Linked DNA regions of Pelodiscus sinensis. The protein of the gene in region 1 binds, or shares a complex with, the protein of each later gene. Links are inferred from orthologs where the notes say so. Each region holds a gene or a part of one and is shown on either strand. Other genes may lie near its edges.

What was found.
Region 2: the proteins of TIMM10 (region 1) and TIMM10B are in contact, whole or in part, in a cryo-EM structure (PDB 7CGP), measured with the Homo sapiens proteins. The link is inferred for Pelodiscus sinensis from reciprocal best matches to the Homo sapiens genes TIMM10 and TIMM10B. Residues at the interface, in NP_036588.1 of Homo sapiens: Ala6, Leu9, Leu13, Glu16, Met17, Asp20, Met21, Arg24, Ala28, Lys32, Cys50, Asp52, Arg53, Cys54, Ser56, Lys57, Tyr58, Asp60, Ile61, His62, Glu63, Arg64, Met65, Gly66, Lys68, Leu69, Leu72, Asp76; in NP_036324.1 of Homo sapiens: Gln7, Leu11, Leu14, Arg15, Phe17, Leu18, Leu19, Tyr21, Asn22, Arg23, Met24, Thr25, Glu26, Cys28, Phe29, Val33, Pro34, Ser35, Leu36, His37, His38, Arg39, Leu41, Glu46, Leu49, His50, Ala53, Gly54, Ile57, His61.

Annotation. Positions count from the first base shown.
Region 1 is NC_134714.1:128,461,062-128,470,464, reverse strand, and holds TIMM10 (mitochondrial import inner membrane translocase subunit Tim10), read left to right. Parts: upstream 1-6,041; 5' UTR 6,042-6,198; intron 6,199-6,843; 5' UTR 6,844-6,863; coding exon 6,864-6,934; intron 6,935-7,855; coding exon 7,856-8,057; 3' UTR 8,058-8,166; downstream 8,167-9,403. Other genes in the region: SMTNL1 (smoothelin-like protein 1), read right to left, coding at 284-416, 622-1,485.
Region 2 is NW_027466033.1:417,494-427,547, reverse strand, and holds TIMM10B (mitochondrial import inner membrane translocase subunit Tim10 B), read left to right. Parts: upstream 1-5,650; 5' UTR 5,651-5,772; coding exon 5,773-5,808; intron 5,809-7,627; coding exon 7,628-7,723; intron 7,724-7,889; coding exon 7,890-8,117; 3' UTR 8,118-8,439; downstream 8,440-10,054. UniProt on the Homo sapiens protein: Component of the TIM22 complex, a complex that mediates the import and insertion of multi-pass transmembrane proteins into the mitochondrial inner membrane.

The DNA.
Region 1 (9,403 bases):
ATTTACAAAATCCTGATCTTAAAAGCAGGGACTGCAGTGGGGTCAACTATATCTGAGGTGGGGCTGTGCTGGGGGGTGGCCCTGTGTGAGGGGGCAGGAGCTGTGCCAGAGGGGGGTGGCCCTGTATGAGGAGAGTGGGGGCAGTGTTGGGGGGGGGGGATCCTGGATGAGGGGTTGGGGCTCTGCTGGGGAATGACCCTGTGAGGGTATGTCTGTGCCGTGGGGATGCCGTGGGGGTGTCTCCTCCCTGGAGTCTCCCCTTCCCCAATCCCACTGGCCTTACCTGGCTGGGGAGCCCCCGTCTCCACCCTGATGGCAGCATCTCCTGTGGGGCTGGGTGCAGGCTCACCCCACTCTTCCTCCTCACCTCCTGTCTCTGGGGACAGCGGCTCCTCTGAGGTGCTCCCACTGTGCCCCTGGGAGGGGACAAAGCCCTTGAACAGGACCAGTCCCCTGCCCCCCAAATCCCATGAGTCCCCGACCCCCTGGTGGCCCAGGGCAACGGGGAGGGCTCGGGGGCACCCGCAGCACCTTCCCAGCACGCTAGCCCCATGGGAGATGTGAGGGGCTTCCCTCCTCTCCTCCACCCCATTGCCCTGTTTGCCCTGTGGGGACACTCACCTCTCTGGCCAGAGCACCGCTGGCCCCCTCAGCTCCAGCCCCTTGCTCCTCAGACACCTGCCTCTCTGGCTTGGCCCCGGCAGCCCCCTCCTGGGGTTCAGGCTCAGCCCCTCCTACTGCTGCCTTCTCCTCTGCCCCAGCCCCTTGCCCCTCTGCTCCAGCCCCAATATCCCCAGCCTCACCACCCTGCTTAGCATCATTCCCAGAATCCTTTGCTCCCCCGGCCTCACTGCTCTGTTTAGCATCGCTCCCAGAATCCTTTGCTCCCCCGGCCTCACTGCTCTGCTTAGCATCGCTCCCAGAATCCTTTGCTCCCCCGGCCTCACTGCTCTGCTTAGCATCGCTCCCAGAATCCTTTGCTCCCCCGGCCTCACTGCTCTGCTTAGTATCGCTCCCAGAATCCTTTGCTCCCCCAGCCTCACTGCTCTGCTTAGCATCGCTCCCAGAATCCTTTGCTCCCCCGGCCTCACTGCTCTGCTTAGCATCGCTCCCAGAATCCTTTGCTCCCCCGGCCTCACTGCTCTGCTTAGCATCGCTCCCAGAATCCGTTGCTCCATTGGCCTCTATGCCCCCCTTTGTATTACTCCCAGAATCCCCTGCTGCCCCAGCCTCAGCACCCTGCTTAGCATCACTCCCAGAATCCCCTGCTGCCCCAGACTCAGGATCCTGCTTAGCATCACTCCCAGAATCCCCTGCTTCCCTGGCCTCACCCTGCTTAGCATCACTCCCAGAATCCCCTGCTTTCCCCTTTTCCCCCAGCCCATCCTTGCCCCCCGCTGCCTCCACCCCTTCAGCCTCCTTGGCCGTGGCCCCGGGCTCCTCTGCCATCAGTGCAGGGTTGGGGGTGGCTTCCTGCGCCTCCATCTCTGGAAGGAGACAAGAAGCATGTGGTCAAATGGAGGCAGCAGGGATCCAGACTGGGGCTGTGAATGGCCCTTGACAGACCTGTCCAGGGACTGGCCTCCCAGCCTCCCCGGGCTCTGTCCACCCCTGCCCCAAGCCCCACCCTTGGCATGGCTGGGGTAGGAGGCGGCGGGTTGCCCTCTGCTGACCATTCCTTGGCATAGTGGGGCCCTACCTAACTTCCAGGGCAGTTCTTTGCCGGGGATGGGGAACACTGATTAGGGCACCTTGGGGTGGGGTGGGAATGGGGGCAGACAGAGCCCCTGGTGTGGGGGAGCCGGAGGGAGTCCCTGCAATGGAGGGTTACACCCAGGGACCATGCGCAGGGGAATGGAGGGTGCCAGGCGCCCCGGGATCCTGCAGCGAGTTTGACTCACATCAGCGAGGTGAGGCTCTGCAGTAAATACCCCAGGACCTTCCTAGGCCCAGGGGAAGTGGCCAGGGAGGCCAGTGGGGTGGGCTGTGCTGACAACCTGCTCGGGCAGGATGGTGGCCAGGCTGGGTACTGGCCCTTTAAAGCAAGGGGGGGCACTTCCCCATCACTGAGTAAACAATCCCTAGGGCCTGGAACAGGCCTCTGACTCAGGCACCAAACGTGCAGGGGGGGGGGGGTGTCTTAGGAGGGGACAAGGGACCCCCCTCAGCAGCTAAATATACCCCTGACATTTACCTCTCTGCCAGACCCAGGCAACAAGGGATTTGCCAACTGCTGCCCCAAATACTCCCCCCATAGTAAACTGCCTGCAACCCCAAGCTTCCCCCAGTTCTGCTTGTGCCCCACCACCCTGCCCCACCATTCCTTGCTAGCCCAGCCCCAGGCTCACCCCAGCTTTGCCAGTGCCCCACAATTCCCACCTGTTGCTACCTACTAGCCCAGCCCTGAGCTCCGCCCGACTCTGCCAGTGCCCCACAATCCTGCCCTCCATCCCCTGCTAGCTCAGCCCCAGACTGTCCCCCAGCTTTGCCAGTGCCCCACAGCCCCGGTTATTCCAGGCCTGGGCTCCCACGACCTGCCTTTGATACAGATGGTCTCCCCCAGTGCCTGGGGAAGGGAAGAGGGATCGGGGGTGTTTCCAGGGCATCCTAAGCCAGGGCAGGGGGTGTCTCCAGCCCACCCAGCTCCCCTACTGGAGGGGTTTATTCAATGCCCCACCCCTCCGGCCCTCCCTGGAGTCAGGGTGCTGGGCAGGGCTGCACCCACCTGCCGGCTGCTCCGTGGGACAGGCTGGTTCTGGGCTCAGTCCCGTCTGTCCTGCGCTTTGTGTTACAGCTCTTTGGAGCAGCACGGCCTATTTTTACCAGGAGGGAACAGGTGCCACTTTCATTCATGCTCCTTCACCCTGCCAGCTCCTCTGCCCCCTCCCCTAATGGCAGGGGGGATCCACTCTCCCAGAGTGACCCCCCCCAGAGGAGCTTGACAGGTTATGGGGGGATCCCACTTGGCAGGGGACCTTCAGGTGGCAAATGGGAAAGTGGGCCACAGGGGACCCCACCCCAACTACAATAGGAACCCCTCCCCCATGCCAGGGTGCTGCCAGCTGTCCAGCTTGGCACCAGAGCTGGAGCTAACAGAGCCATGGGGTCACCCTGCTCCCAGGGGTCTCTTTCCCACTGGGGTGTGGGCCAGGGGGCTGTCGTCACCCCTCCCCCCAGTACTGTCATTACTTAGGCAGCTCTGCCACCCTGTGGCCAGGCCTAGGAATTACAGGTGCACCCCTAGGTGGGTGACCATAGCAGAGTCCTCAGTCCCTCCCAAACCCGTGAGATACAGGTACTTCACTGCTGGATTTGGGGGTTACTTCCCACTGCACAGGCGGGACTCAGTTTTCCAGCCAATCAGGAAGGAGACTCTCCCCCTTCCCCGTAACTGGGGAACATCCAGGCCACCCAGGGTAGCACAACTGGTCTCTATCCTCAAGGGCAGGCAGCTCTGGGGCCTGGCTCACCAGCCTGGCCAGATGCTGGGGCTGAGACACTGTTGTGCGAGATGGTCATAAATGGGGCAGAAGGAAAAGACAGGGCAGGTTCCACCCAATCCAGTGCCCAGGCAGCTCCCTCTGCAGCTGTTACCTGCCTTCCCCTGGCATCTATGGCTTAGCCATACCCGATGCCTCCCTCCTAAAGGCAAAGGCTGCATGCTCTCGAGCAGTGTTTCCCAAATGGTGTTCCACGGAACCCCGGGGTTCCCCGAAGTAAAAATAAGGGTTCCGCACGAAAATTCCATTCCAATAACATTTTCTTATTAAAAAAATAATATTGAAGCATTTATTAATTTTATTGACAACAATTTTCATTTGTGTTTGCCACAATAAGTGTCCCTGTGTAATGCCAGCTTAGCCAGAGAGTGGGGATGATGACGTCACTAGTCAGTGCTGATGTCCATCTATTAGACTGTTATTAGGGATTCTGCAAAATTCTTTTGAGTTTAAAAGGGTTCCATGGCTAAATTAAATTGGGAAATGCTGCTCTGGTGGGTAGAGCTGGGAACTGGGAGTCAGGAGAACTGGGTTCAGTCCTGATTCTGAACTTGGGCGAGTCTCTGCCCCTGTTTCCCCATGTGTAATACAGGGGCGGGGCACGACAAAGCAGGTGCACACACTGCCAAGGACGAGCTGCCTGGCTCTGTATTTAGTACAAGGCTCTGACCATCGCTGGCTCAGAGGCCAACAGCAGCTGTTAGGAGGACACAGAGTCCCATGCATTTGTTAATGGCAGGCAGGTGGTAAGGCTGGCAGCCAGGCTAGGGCATGTACTTATGAAATGTATGGGGCTTGATCGGACAGATCCTACCTCAGCTCCACTGGCGGTGGGGTCCACACTATAGTGTTGCTCTTTCTCTCTGGGGCCTATGGCGAGAGGTGTTGCCTGCCTGGGCTCAAAGGGAGAGAGGGGCTGATGGTGCCCGACACAATGGTACTGGCTGTGCCCAGGCTCCGGAGGCTCTGCTCCTGGCCTGATCCGCCTCCGTGGACAGGGGACTCTGGGAGCCTATGGCAAATAACGTCACAGCCCCACCCTCAGCCGGCCCCCTATGTACTCACCCCATGACCCCCTCCCCACAGCCTGTGTCACCCCACAGCCCGACAGGCCTCCACTGCAATCACCCTCGCCCCATAACCCCTCCCCGCAGCCTGTGTCACCACACAGCCCGACAGGCCCCACTGCAATCACCCCCACCCTATAACCCCTCCCCACAGCCTGTCACCCCACAGCCCGACAGCCCCCACTGCAATCACCCCCACCCTATAACCCCTCCCCACAGCCTGTGTCACCCCACAGCCCGACAGCCCCCACTGCAATCACCCCCACCCCATAACCCCTTCCCACAGCCTGTGTCACCCCACAGCCCGACAGGCCCCACCGCAATCACCCCCACCCCATAACCCCTCCCCACAGCCTGTGTCACCCCACAGCCCGACAGGCCCCACCGCAATCACCCCCACCCCATAACCCCTCCCCACAGCCTGTGTCACCCCACAGCCCGACAGGCCCCACTGCAATCACCCCCACCCCATAACCCCGCCCCACAGCCTGTGTCACCCCACAGCCCGCAGCCCCCACTGCAATCACCCCCACCCTATAACCCCTCCCCACAGCCTGTGTCACCCCACAGCCCGACAGCCCCCACTGCAATCACCCCCACCCTATAACCCCTCCCCACAGCCTGTCACCCCACAGCCCGACAGCCCCCACTGCAATCACCCCCACCCTATAACCCCTCCCCACAGCCTGTCACCCCACAGCCCGACAGCCCCCACTGCAATCACCCCCACCCCATAACCCCGCCCCACAGCCTGTGTCACCCCACAGCCCGCAGCCCCCACTGCAATCACCCCCACCCTATAACCCCTCCCCACAGCCTGTGTCACCCCACAGCCCGACAGCCCCCACCGCAATCACCCCCACCCTATAACCCCTCCCCACAGCCTGTCACCCCACAGCCCGACAGCCCCCACTGCAATCACCCCCACCCCATAACCCCGCCCCACAGCCTGTGTCACCCCACAGCCCGCAGCCCCCACTGCAATCACCCCCATTCAACCCCCCACTCTCCCAGCCGGTCCCATCCCTGCTGTCCCTGAAGCCCCGGGGGATCCCAACCTGCCCGCTTTTGGGGGCCTCTCTCCCTCCCCTGCGCCCCACCAAGGGGCTGAACCCCTGCAACGCCCACCCCCCACCGGACGGGGGCACTGCTCCTTCAGCTACGCTAGGCTCATTAGACCTCCCGGCTTGTCTAGCAACAACTAGCACTCTATGGTAACATGGCTGCGCCCATTCTCCCGCCTCACATCCGGTACGTTCTAGCCTCGGTCCTCCACCAGCTCTATGCTCTAATTGGGTTCCCCTCCTTCCCCTGGAGTCCCGGCACATCTCTATGGTTTGCAGCGGGCCCCTCTCGCCTCCTGCCCCTTCCCTCTCGCTCTCTGGCGGGTCACTCTGCGGAAGCGGAGTCCTCCACAAGCCGGAAGTGGGCGCCCCGCGTCTGACTCTATGGTACCACGGAGGAGAGAGGGGGGGGCCCATCGTACCGGAAGTACCTGTTCCCCGCATGTTTCCGGTTGGCGGCGGGGGGAACGTCACGTTACTGTGCAGCGTGGGGAGGGGAAAGGGGCTGCTGACCCCTGACCTCTGACCCCGGGGCTCAGCGACTCCTCCCCACGAGGAGCGCGCAGGGTGAGAGGGGCTCGGGGCTGCCCCTAGTCGGGGGGGGGGGGGTCAGGGACTTGCCCCCCCGCTGCATTGGCTGGGGCACATCGGCCCGGGGGGTTACAAGGGGGTATCATGGGGGGCGGGGTATCATGGGGGGCACATGGGGGGCGGGGCCCGCACGTGGGGGGTACATGGGGGGCAGGGTATCATGGGGGGCACATGGGGGGCGGGGCCCGCACGTGGGGGGTACATGGGGGGCAGGGTATCATGGGGGGCACATGGGGGGCGGCGCCTGCACGTGGGGGGTACATGGGGGGCGGGGTATCATGGGGGGCACATGGGGGGCGGCGCCTGCACGTGGGGGGTACATGGGGGGCGGGGTATCATGGGGGGCACATGGGGGGCGGCGCCTGCACGTGGGGGGTACATGGGGGCGGGGTATTGTGGGGGGCACACGGGGGCGGGGCCTGCACGTGGGGGGTTCATGGGGGGCGGGGTATTGTGGGGGCCACACGGGGGGGGCCCGCACGGGGGGGAGGCACATGGGGGGCGGGGCCTGCACGTGGAGGGTACATGGGGGGCGGGGTATCATGGGGGGCACTCGGGGGCGGGGCCCGCACGTGGGGGGGGGGGCACGCGTGGCAGGCCTGACAGACTCTGTGTTCCCAGGAGCAGGTCACTCGGGCGCGATGGATCCGCTCCGGGCCCAGCAGCTGGCGGCCGAGCTGGAGGTGGAGATGATGGCCGACATGTACAACAGGTAACGGCCCCTCATCACAGCGCCCTCCCCCCCCCCGGCATGCTGCGGGGGGTCACAGATTTGAAAGCCGGCAGGGGCCCTCTAAATTGGGGAGAGACCAAGAAAGAGGCACGAGAATGACTGAAGGGCTAGAAAACCTGCCTTCCAGTGATCGTCGAGGAGCTCAGTTCGCGTAGGGCAGTGGTTCCGAAACTTCGGCATCATACCCCCTTTTTGATTTTTGAAAAATCTCCCCCCCCCCCCCACACACAAAAAATAGCAGCAAAACTTGTTGAGAAATAAAATGATTGGGGGGAGGGATGCTGGGTCACCTCCCCACTCCTCCCCCCGGAATTTTTTCACGCCTCACCAACAGGGCATGCCCCCCAGTTTGGGAACCCATTAGGGTAACCAAGAGAAGTTTAAGTGCTGGCTGGGTCGGTTGGTAAGTACCTACATGGGAAATAGATGTTTAATAGTGGGGTTTCCTGCAAGATAGAGTCTAGCAGAGAAAGGTCTAATATGGTCCAGTAGCTGGAAGTTGGAGCTAGATACATTTAGACTGGAAATAAGGTGTGAGATTTTAATGGTGAGAGTAATTAGCCATTGGAGCAACTTCCTAGGATCGTGGTGTATTCCTCATCAGTGATGAGTTTTCAACCAAGATGGAATGTGGGTCACAATGAAGTGGAATTGGCACAGTGGTGGGTGTGCTGGAGCTGAGGACTGGAACATCAAAAGGCCACGGGTCGGGATTGAGAGGAATTGGCAGAGCTCTGAGCTGCAACAGCACGTTATTCAGGAGCACTGGCATAAATGTGGGCAGGATGTATGGAGGGAGCCCAGGATTGGGGTAGCAGGGAAGCCTGTGGGGAGGAGGCAGGACTAGGTTCACCCGGACACCTTTGGATTCTCATGCTCTCCCTCTCCTTGGTGGCCCAGAATGACCAATGCCTGTCACCGGAAGTGCGTCCCTCCCCACTACAAGGAGGCGGAGCTCTCCAAGGGGGAGTCTGTGTGCCTGGACCGCTGCGTCTCCAAGTACCTGGACATCCACGAGCGCATGGGCAAGAAACTGACAGAGCTCTCCATGCAAGATGAAGAGCTGATGAAAAGGATGCAGCAGGGGGCAGGACCGGCATAGGGACTTCCTCTTGAACATGGACAGCATGCATGATGGCCTGGCATCCTCCCTCACTGCAGCCTGGACTCACCCCTGTGCCTCCACCCCAAAATAAAACCTCTTTATGTGAGCTGGGTCTTTGCCTACAAGGACAGTTCAGAGACCTGGGGCTGTGATATACCAACTGGATGTTCTGCCCCACCCTTTTCTCTGGTGCCTTAGAATCATAGAATCATAGAATAATAGGACTGGAAGGGACCTCGAGAGGTCATCGAGTCCAGCCCCCCGCCCTCAAGGCAGGATCAAGCTCCGTCTACACCATCCCTGACAGATGTCTATCTAACCTGTTCTTAAATATCTCCAGAGAGGGAGATTCCACCACCTCCCTTGGCAATTTATTCCAATATTTGACCACCCTGACAGTTAGGAATTTTTTCCTAATGTCCAATCTAAACCTCCCCTGCTGCACTTTAAGCCCATTACTCCTTGTCCTGTCCTCAGAAACCAAGAGGAACAAATTTTCGCCTTCCTCCTTGTGACACCCTTTTAGATATTTGAAAACCGCTATCATGTCCCCCCTTAATCTTCTTTTTTCCTTTTTTCCTTGCTCCATCCCTGAGTGGATACGATCCCAGTTCTGCTCTGTCCAGCTGACCCCCCATTTACCAGGCTGCGTCTGTACTTTTACCGCTTCGTGGAAGGAATGGGTTAGTCAGGGTGGTTTCCTACAAGATAGAGTAATTGTATGGGAGGCCAGTTTGGCATCTGGCTGTTTTTTCCTCTGCCAGTACCCCAGCGTGGCTCTAGGGTGGGCAAACCTTGTAGGCATCTAAGTAGGCAAATTGTATGGCAGGCCATAAATGCTCGCTGGCCTGACCTCCTCCCAGTGGCAGATTGGCCACTGGCCCAAAGGGGTGTGCCCAGGGGCCCCTGCCAATTGGGGAGCTGCGGAAAAATGGGCGCCTCTCCGTTGCCAGCAGCTCTGACCTCCGACTCAGTGGTGGAGCTAGGAAGCAGACGGTGAAGGGGGCAAGCACCTGAGCACACTCCCTGGTGGGAGCTCCAGGGCTGGATGAAAAAGTCTGATGTGCTGGATGTGACCTGTGGGTCCTAGTTTGCTCATCCCTCCCCTAGGGGAGGTGCTCTGCTGTGGGGAAGTGTGTGTCTCTCTCTCCCTGGTGCTCTGTAACGCTCCACCCCTCTTTCGTTGTACTGATTAGTTCCTTTGGCACTTTCACTTGAGGCAGTGTGTGACGGGCAGGATCCTGATCCTGTTTGGATAACCTCCCCCACAGCCATCCTGGCACTTCCTGTCCCAAACTCCTAGTGGAAGGGTATTCCGCTTTGATCGCCTCCCACCCCAGCAG
Region 2 (10,054 bases), on another chromosome or scaffold:
GGGTGCTAAGATGCCAGCAGCCTGTGTGTGGCCTCACTCTCTGGAGATCGTTCCCCTGGCTGCTCCCAAGGCTGTGTCAGCTGGACATCCCAACAGCACCCATCCCCTGGATACTGGCCCCTGAAAGCAGCCAGAAGCACCCCGGGGCTCAGCCCTAACGGCACCCACAGGGATGGGCACCGATTTATCCCCCCTCCTGGATACCCACCCTTGAGAGCAGCCATCTGCACCAATAAGATCAGAGCGGCCATGCTGGGTCGGACCAAAGGCCCATCCAGCCCAGTGTCTGTCGGCTCACAGTGGCCAGCGCCAGGTGCCCCAGAGGGAGTGAACAGAGCAGGGAATTGTCCAGTGATCCCTCCCCCGTCGCCCATTCCCAGCCTGCTCGCTGTTCTTCAAACTCCTTTATGGCTCCTCTTAGTATATTTTTACACTTCATTTGACAATGTTTATGCTCCTATTTTCCTCACCAGGATTTAACTTCCACTTTTTAAACGATGCCTTTTTATTTCTCAGTTCTTCTATGACCTGCTTGTGAAGCCCACGGTGGCACTTTTTTTGGTTCTCTTACTGTGCTTTTTAATTTGGGGGCTACATCAGAGTTGGGCCTCTCTTATGGTGTCTTTGAACAATGTCCTTGCAGCTTGCAGGGATTTTACTTTTGTCACTGGACTTTTTAATTTCTGTTTAACTAACCTCCACGTTTGTGTGCAGTTCCCCTTCTTGAAACGAAATGTCACAGTGTTGGGCTGCTGAGGTGTTCTTCCCACCACAGGAATATGACATTTTATTACATTATGGTCACTATTTCCAAGCGGTCCAGTTACATTTACTTCTTGGACCAGATCCTGCGCTCCACTCAGGACTAAATCAAGAACAACCCGTCCCCTTGTGGGTTCCAGAACCAGCTACTCCAAGAAGTAGCCATATAACGTATCAAGAAATGGTATTTTTGCATCCCGTCCTCAGATGACGTGTACCCAGTTAATATGGGGATAGTTGAAATCCCCCATGATTATTGAGCTTTTTAATTTGATAGCCTCTCTAATCTCCCTTAGCATTCCACAACCTGTTCTGTCCTTCCAATATATTTTGTACCCTGGTATGACTGTGTCCCATTGATTGTCCTCATTCCACCAAGTTTCCGTGTTGCCTATTACATCAATGTCCTCCTTTAAAGTTAGGCACTCCAGTTCAACCATTTTACTATTTAGACTTCTAGCATTTGTGTATAAGCGCTTTCATAATTTGTCACTATTTGTCTGTCTGCCATTTCCTGATGTGTTAACTCTCTTCATTTGATTGTGTCTCCTCTGATCTGACCCAAAATTCCATCCTCTCATCCTGACTAGAACTTACAGCATCTAATGACATGAGAAGTCATTCTTCCGCGCTACTCTGCGCTGGTCAGGCCTCAATTGGAGTATTGTGTCCAGTTCTGGGCACCGCATTTCAAGACAGATGTGGAGAAATTGGAGAGGGTCCAGAGAAGAGCAACAAGAATGTTGAAAGGTCTAGAGAACATGACCTATGAGGGAAGGCTGCAGGAATTGGGTTTGTTTAGTTTAGAAAAGAGAAGACTGAGGGGGGACATGATAGCAGTTTTCAGGTATCTAAAAGGGTGTCATAAGGAGGAGGGAGAAAAATTGTTCATCTTGGCCTCTGGGGATAGAACAAGAAGCAATGGGCTTAAACTGCAGCAGGGGAGGTTTAGGTTGGACATTAGGAAAAAGTTCCTGTCAGGGTGGTCAAACACCAGGGAGGTTGTGGAATCCCCATCTCTGGGGATATTTAAGAGCAGGTTAGATAAATGTCTATCAGGGATGGTCTAGACAGTATTTGGTCCTGCCATGAAGGCAGAGGACTGGACTCGATGACTCTCGAGGTCCCTTCCAGTCCTAGTATTCTATGATCTCTATTAATAGACCCTGCCCTAAGAGATGTGTCTGTCTGATCCACGTGCTCCTTTGCACCTGTCGGCTTTTCCCATTAAATGCCAGCAGTTTGGTTCCATTTTGGTTTAGGTGGAGCCCATCCTTCCTGTCTAGGCTCCCCCTCTCCCAAAAGTTTCCCTAGTTCGTAATAAATCTAAACCCCTCCTCCCTACACCATCGTCTCATCCCCGCATTGAGATTCTGAAGCTCCGCCTGCCTACCTGGCCCTGCGCGTGGAACTGGAAGCGTTTCTGAGAACACCCCCATAGAGCTTCTGGATTTCAGTCTCTTTCCTAGCAGCCTAAATTTGTCCTCCAGAACCTCTCTCCCACCCTTGCCTATGTCAATGGTACCTACATGTACCACGACCACTGGCTGCTCCCCAGCACTACACATAAGTCTGTCTAGATGCCTCGAGAGATCCACAACCTTGGCACCAGGCAGGCAAGTGACCATCCGGTTCTCACAGTCATCGCAAACCCAGCTCTCAATGTTTCTAACGATCAAATCCCCCATTACTAACACCTGCCTCTTCCTACTGATGGGAGTTCCCTCCCCAGAGAGGCAGCCTTGATGCGGGAGGAGACCCCACATCCTCTGGAAGAAGGGTCCCAATTATGGGATAGTTCCCCTCTGTTCCAGTTGACTCTTCTCCCTCCTTAGCAGCACAGGGGCTGCCTGACTGGAGGTAGGAGCTCAGTCCCAATGCATCCCAGAGACTGGCACTGATTTATACCCCTGGATCCCGGCCCCCCAAAGCAGCCTGGGCACACGCTATCCAAGCAAGGGCCAGCCCGACGTTGCTCTTGGTGCCAGCAAGGCCTGCAGCACATGGGTCTCAGGTGTTCCAGCACTAGCAGCTCCCAGCCTCCCTCCTCCGTCAGCTCCAGGCCTCCCGAGTGCGGGGCACCTCCACAGCAGAGCGACAGCAACAAACATGCCCCAGGTTCCCTCCCTCCTCCCCGGAGGCCTCTGCTCAGGAGCCTGCTCCTGGCCCCCCTTGGCTGCCTGCACCTGCCAGCCTGGCCGAGAACAATGGGCCCTGTATACGTGGCACCAGGAGTCAGCCGCTGCCAGAGCCTCCCAAGCCTGCTCTGCCTCCCCAGCACACCCAGGGCAGCGCAGGCCAAAGCCCATAGACCCACCCTGCTCTTCCACTCTTGGCCAAAGCAGGCCCTGGGAGCCAAGGGGCCCGCAGGCCTTGCTGGCTAGAGGCAGCGTCGCAGCAGGGGTTCAGGGACACACACCAGGCTCATAGGAGACGCAGTGGTGCGGCTGTGGGTGTCTTCACTCCCTGCGGCATTGACGGGCAGAGACCGAATCAGGGGGCTCCGTTGGTCGCGCCTAGTTCACAAAGAACATAGCTGAAGCCGACCTCAGGTCTGCTGACTGGGGGATCTTCACAGTGGGAAATCGACGGCCGGGCCTTCTCCCACTGACCCCAGCAGGAAGCAGACCTAAGAACGCTGCGTTAGTCACGTAGCAATGTTGTGTACCTTGGGTGGACAGCCCGCGGCGGCAGAGACAAGGCCTCTGACTCAGCCCAGAGGGCAGCCGTATGACCCAAGAGCACAGCTGAAAACTTTGAGTTCCCCTGCACCCCACCCCGATCCCTGAGCTGTGTCCTGCCCGGGCACCGGGCTGCCCACCCTCCAGAGACCATGGCTCAGCCAGACCCACGTTGCCTAGGGTGGTCTCAGCCCCGCGTCCTCAAGCAACTCCCCTGGGTACCGCTTCCCTGAGGTGAAGCCGCACCCAGATGCTGGGACCTTCCTGGATCCGACTCAGCTCTGTGCTAGTGAGTTCCACAGGCCCATTCTGCGCTGGGAAAAGAAATCTCCCCTTTGCTCCCTGCCATTTGCAGTCACTCAGACCACGCCAGCCACCGCAGAGCAGGCCGTGTGGAACGGGCAGCCCCAAGAAGCATCTGTTGCCCTGCAGCACAGGTGGAGGGATCGCTCCCCTTGGGGCAGCAGCAGTCTGCCTCACGCCATCTCCTGAGCTCGGCAGCAGGGGGGAGGGTGCGGGACACACCTGGGCCCGGCAGCTGAGCGGCTCCTGGCCCATTGCCACCAGGCACGTGCCCCGTGCCCTGCAGCAGAAGCTAGGAGAGCTCGTGCCACAGAAGGGACCCTGCTTCATGGGCAGGAGCCATTCTGCAGCTGGCTTCTGCCTCTAGAGTAAGGGGCCCCTCCAGCCTGCCCGCCTGCTACAGAAAACCATGCTAGAGGGACCCCCCAGCACTGGCAGGCCCCTGCCCGGGCACGGCACTCTGCCTGACAAACCCTGGGCCCAGCGAGCGCCCGGCTGGGCAGGGCCCCACCGTGGACACGCTGAGCCCTCCTGCGCAGAGCAGGGAGCTATGGGCAGACTAGGCTGGGAAAACACCTGAGCCGGAGCAGCTGGCCCAGGCAGCCCAACCGGTCAGTGCACATTCTACAGCAGGCGGCCCGCACCAGCTCCCGTTACCTGGCTCCCAGGCCTGGGACGCCTGCCCCACGGCAGGGGGAGCAGGACACCCCAGCACCGGGCTGGCGGGGCAGCGAGCCCTGGGAATCAGCCCCCGGCTCCCTGCAGCACCAGGCAGGCAGAGCCACTGGAGCCTGCTCCCCAGGCACCGAACCGAGCAGAGTCCGAGGTGCCAAAGCCCCCAGCTCCTTACCACAGGCCCACCCAGGGCCAAACGGACCCCGCGCCAAGCCAGGCAGGCCCAGTCCCACCCTGCTGGGCCCCCTGAGCTGGGCCCTGTGGAGCCCCAGCCACAAGTGCCCACGGGGCGGCACCCGGCAAAGCCCCCAGCAGAGAAGAGAGGGACCCTCCCCCTCCCCAGGCCCGCTGCCCAGCCCCAGCTCCACGGACCCCCTCCCTCGCCCCTCTCCCGTGGACCCCCTCCCCTCCCCAGCTCCATGGACCCCCTCCCTCGCCCCTCTCCCAAGGACCCCCTCCCCTGCCCCCTGCCCAGCTCCTCCCCCTCCCCAGCTCCATGGACCCCCTCCCTCGCCCCTCTCCCATGGACCCCCTCCCCTGCCCAGCTCCATGGACCACCTCCCTCGCCCCTCTCCCATGGACCCCCTCCCCTGCCCAGCTCCATGGACCCCCTCCCTCGCCCCTCTCCCATGGACCCCCTCCCCTGCCCAGCTCCATGGACCCCCTCCCTCGCCCCTCTCCCATGGACCCCCTCCCCTCCCCAGCTCCATGGACCCCCTCCCTCGCCCCTCTCCCATGGACCCCCTCCCCTGCCCAGCTCCATGGACCCCCTCCCTCGCCCCTCTCCCATGGACCCCCTCCCCTGCCCCCCTCCTCCCCCTCCCCAGCTCCATGGACCCCCTCCCTCGCCCCTCTCCCAAGGACCCCCTCCCCTGCCCCCTGCCCAGCTCCTCCCCCTCCCCAGCTCCATGGACCCCCTCCCTCGCCCCTCTCCCATGGACCCCCTCCCCTGCCCAGCTCCTCCCCCTCCCCAGCTCCATGGACCCCCTCCCTCGCCCCTCCCCCATGGACCCCTGCCCCAGTCCACGACCCCCGGCGCGGCCCCTCCCCCACCTGCTCCGGCGCCGGAGGCTCCGGCCGTGGATCCGCCTCGGCCGGAACAGACCGGAAGCCACGTCAGGAGCCGGGCAGCGGCGCAAGAGACAGGCGGAACTGACACCATCGCCAAAGAGGAACTCACGCCATGAAGTGCCACGTGACCCGGAAACAAGAGGGAGGGCGACCGGAAGTGACGCAATGGATGCGCAGAAAAGTGTCCTCTGAGCGTGGCAGAGGGTGACGTCAGACGCAGGGCGGAAGTGCGAGCGAGGTCAAGCAGAGTCGGGCGGAGGACTGGTCACGTGGGCTGGGCATGGAGCCTGCGGGGGAGCAACAGCAGCTTCGCAACGTGCGTGGGGGCGGGGCCAGCGGGGGCGCCGGGAGTGTGGGGGGGGGAGGCGCCGGGAGTGTAGGGAGGGGGGGGGGCCGCCGGGAGTGTAGGGAGGGGGGGGGGCCGCCGGGAGTGTAGGGAGGGGGGAGGCGCCGGGAGTGTAGGGGGGGGGGCGGCCGCCGGGAGTGTAGGGAGGGGGGGGGGCCGCCGGGAGTGTAGGGAGGGGGGGGGGCCGCCGGGAGTGTAGGGAGGGGGGGGGGGCCGCCGGGAGTGTAGGGAGGGGGGGGGGGCCGCCGGGAGTGTAGGGGGGGGGGGCGCCGGGAGTGTAGGGAGGGGGGGGGCCGCCGGGAGTGTAGGGAGGGGGGGGGCGGCGCCGGGAGTGTAGGGAGGGGGGGGAGGCGCCGGGAGTGTAGGGAGGGGGGGGGCCGCCGGGAGTGTAGGGAGGGGGGGCGGCAGTGCGGGAAAGGGGGCTGGGAGCGTGCGGGGGGGGGCCAGCAGTGTGGGGGGGCGCTGGGAGTGTATGGAGGGGGGCCGGCAGCGCGGGGGGCCGTTGGGAGTGTATGGAGGGGGGTGCCGGCAGTGCGGGGGGCCGCCGGGAGTGTAGGGGGGGGCCGCCGGCAGTGTATGGAGGGGGGCGCCGGCAGTGCGGGGGGGGCGCTGGGAGTGTATGGAGGGGGGGCGCCGGCAGTGCGGGGGGGGCGCTGGGAGTGTATGGAGGGGGGTGCCAGCAGTGCATGGAGGGGGGGGACGCTGGGAGTGTATGGAGGGGGGCGCCGGCAGTGCGGGGGGGGGCGCTGGGAGTGTATGGAGGGGGGGCGCCGGCAGTGCGGGGGGGGCGCTGGGAGTGTATGGAGGGGGGTGCCAGCAGTGCATGGAGGGGGGGGCGCTGGGAGTGTATGGAGGGGGGGCGGCAGTGCGGGGGCTGCTGGGAGTGTATGGAGGGGGGGCGGCAGTGCGGGGTCCGCCGGGAGTGTAGGGAGGGGAGGCCGTTGGGAGTGTATGGAGGGGGGCCGTTGGGAGTGTATGGAGGGGGGGCGGCAGTGCGGGGGCCGCCGGGAGTGTATGGAGGGGGGGGCCGCCGGGAGTGTATGGAGGGGGGCGGCAGTGCGGGGGGCCGCCGGGAGTGTATGGAGGGGGGGTGCCGGCAGTGTGGGGGGCCGCTGGGAGTGTATGGAGGGGGGGCGCCGGGAGTGCGGGGGGGCCGTTGGGAGTGTATGGAGGGGGGGCCGTTGGGAGTGTATGGAGGGGGGGGCCGGCAGTGCGGGGGGCCGCTGGGAGTGTATGGAGGGGGGGCCGTTGGGAGTGTATGGGGGGGGGCGGCAGTGCGGGGGCCGCCGGGAGTGTATGGAGGGGGGGCGCTGGGAGTGTATGGAGGGGGGGCGGCAGTGCGGGGGTCCGCTGGGAGTGTAGGGGGGGGCCGTTGGGAGTGTATGGAGGGGGGGGCCGTTGGGAGTGTATGGAGGGGGGGCGGCAGTGCGGGGTCTGCTGGGAGTGTATGGAGGGGGGTGCCGGCAGTGCGGGGGGCCGCTGGGAGTGTATGGAGGGGGCCGCTGGGAGCGTACGGTGGGGTGCCGGCAGGTCAAGGGGGTGTGCCCCCTGCCTGTGTGTTCCCTGGGGTGGATCCGGCACAGGCGTACAGTAACCTGGGGCTGCCCGGTTCTGCGGGGCCCTGCTGAGAACGGGCCCACTCTATGCCGAGTCTCCGTCCACAGGGCCATTTGGCCCTGTCGGGCAGGGCATCTGGCTGTCCAGCTGCGCAACGGGGAAGCGGGGTCTCTGCGAGGACGGGGGGGCGATCTGGAGGCCAGTCGCACCCAGCTCCTTGCTCTCCTTGCAGCTGCGGGATTTCCTGCTGGTCTATAACAGGATGACGGAGCTCTGCTTCCTGCGCTGCGTCTCCAACCTGAACTACCGGGCACTCACCAGGGAAGAGGTGAGCCCTGGCCCAGCACCGGGGTTGGGGAGCTCTTCCTGGCGCACAGCTGGCAGGCTGGCTCATCCGGGCCATGGGCAGCCCGCTGTGTGGCAGGGGCCCTTGGGGAGGAATGGGCTCTGGTCCTGGTGGGGCTGGGTCCCTGTGATCTGCTTTGTCCCAGCAGGAGAACTGTCTGGACTGCTGTGCTGGGAAGCTCGTCCACTCCAACCACCGCCTCATGGGGGCCTACGTGCAGCTCATGCCCTCCCTGGTTCAGCGTCGCATCTCGGACTACGAGGCCGCCAGCGGCCAGGCAGCCCCAAGTGCCGTTGGAACTGAAACGCCCCCTAGCCGGCAGGTGGCTGCCAGTCTTGCCGTTGCTCCGGAAGGCACCTCCCAAGCCCTCAGCTAATTCCCTGCTCCCTGGCCTGTGGCCTGAGTGAGGAACAGCCCAGGGGGCATCAGAGCTGGGCCCTGCCTCGGGGCTGGAGCACTGCCTCTCCAGGCACTTCTGGGCCGGTCTGTGCCCTAGACGGAGCAGCCAGCAGCGCTGGGGCTGGGCCAGCCCACCTAACAGTGGGGCCTTCCGGCTGCTTGGGCCAGGCCATGGGTGCGCCGGTGGCAGGGCCCTGCTGAGGGTCTCTGGCCCCCGCAGCCGCCCTGTGCTGGGCGCTCTGCCCCAAGGCCAGGCTTTCTTGCAGCTGCTGCTTTGCAATAAACCAGTGTCCTCATGAGTCCCTGCGTGCGTGAGTGGCAGCTCACCACCGCCACAGACGCCCAAGGGGCCCGCCCCGGGGCCCCATGCTCCTCCCAAAGCTGTCTGCAGATCTTGAGGGGTGGAGGGACGATGCTCCAAACCAGTTGGCAGAGGCCAAGCAGGACTAGGGGTGGTCCCTCCTCTCTCTGAGCCCACTGACCTCTGGGCAAGAAACTTCCACAGCTTCGCCCTCCCCGAGTCTGGCCTCCGTCCATCCCTTGTGCTCCCCGCAGCAAGGCCGCCCAGCCGGGGCTCCTGGCAAGGTAGAACCCGGCCACCCGACTTCCCGATCAGCTGTGACCGCTGTTCCCAGTAAGCCGAGCGTGTGGACGGCTGCCCACAAGAAGTTCGTGCCACAAGCTGATTGGCACAGTGCCCATGGCGGGGAGCAGGGGTTTCTATGCATGGTGCACATCTCCACATGCCTCGGTGCTCACAACAAAATGCATTCCGCATATGAGCAGAACCATTCAGAGGACGCGTGGTCCATGGCTTTGCCTGGAACACAATGTAGAATGGCGCTTACCCCGTGAGAAAACTGGGCCTGGCTCTCCCCGTGAGCCCCCCTCAGCTGGCCGCCAGGCTCCTGACAGGCCCCTTGCTCCTTCCGGGGGGAAAGGCGTCCCCAGGCCTGAGCCCCCGATGGGCCGAGGTTCTAAAGGGCATCGCCCAGCTCCCCTACCCCAAGGCTCAGTAAGTCACACCCCCAATTCCCATCCCATCCAGGCCTGAGGGCCGCCCCGGGGAAACTGAGGCATGCCCAGTGCTCTTGGGAGGGAGCTGCTGCCAAAGCACACGCCCCACAACAGAACAAGTTGACTAAACCCCCCACTTCGGCACAGGGTCCTGGACCTGTTTCTGTCCACAGCGCTCTGAACCACACACCCTGCTTCGCCTCCTGCCATTCGAGCTCTAGTGCCTCGTTTTAACATGTCGCAGGGCCTGCCCCCCCTCGCTTTCCCCCCAGGCACCACGCCAGGCCTGCCCCCTGCCTTTCCCCCCCGAGCACTGTGCTGGGCCTACCCCCCCCTTACCGCGGGCACCACAATGGGCCTGCCTCCCCCCCCCCCGGGCACTGCCCTGGCCCTGCCCCCCACCTTGCCCCCCCCCCCCGGCACTGCCCTGGCCCTGCCCCCCTCGGGCACCGCGATGGCCCCGCCCCCCCACCTTTCCCCCTGGGCACCATGCTGGGCCTTCCCCCCCCCCCCAGGCACTGCGCTGGCCGTGTTCCCCCTTTCCCCCCAGGCACTGCTCTGGGCCTATCTCCCACCTTTCCCCCCGGGGCACCGCTCTGGGCCCACCCCTGCCTTTTCCCTTCCCCCCCAGGCACCGTGCTGGGCCCACCTTCCGCTTTTCCCTGTGGGCACCACACTGGGTCTGCTGCCCTTACCCCTTACTTCATGCTGGGTCTACCCCTCCAGCTTTCCCCCTATGGCCACTTTCTCCCCGTGGGCATTGTGCTGGGTTTGCTCTTCTCTGGCCTGGTGCTGCACTGCGGTTGCTTCAGTCACTGGGCCTGTATCTACACTGGTGCAATCATGTGCCAAAGTGGCTGCTCTTGTGCAAAAACTTGTTGCCTGTCTACACTGGCC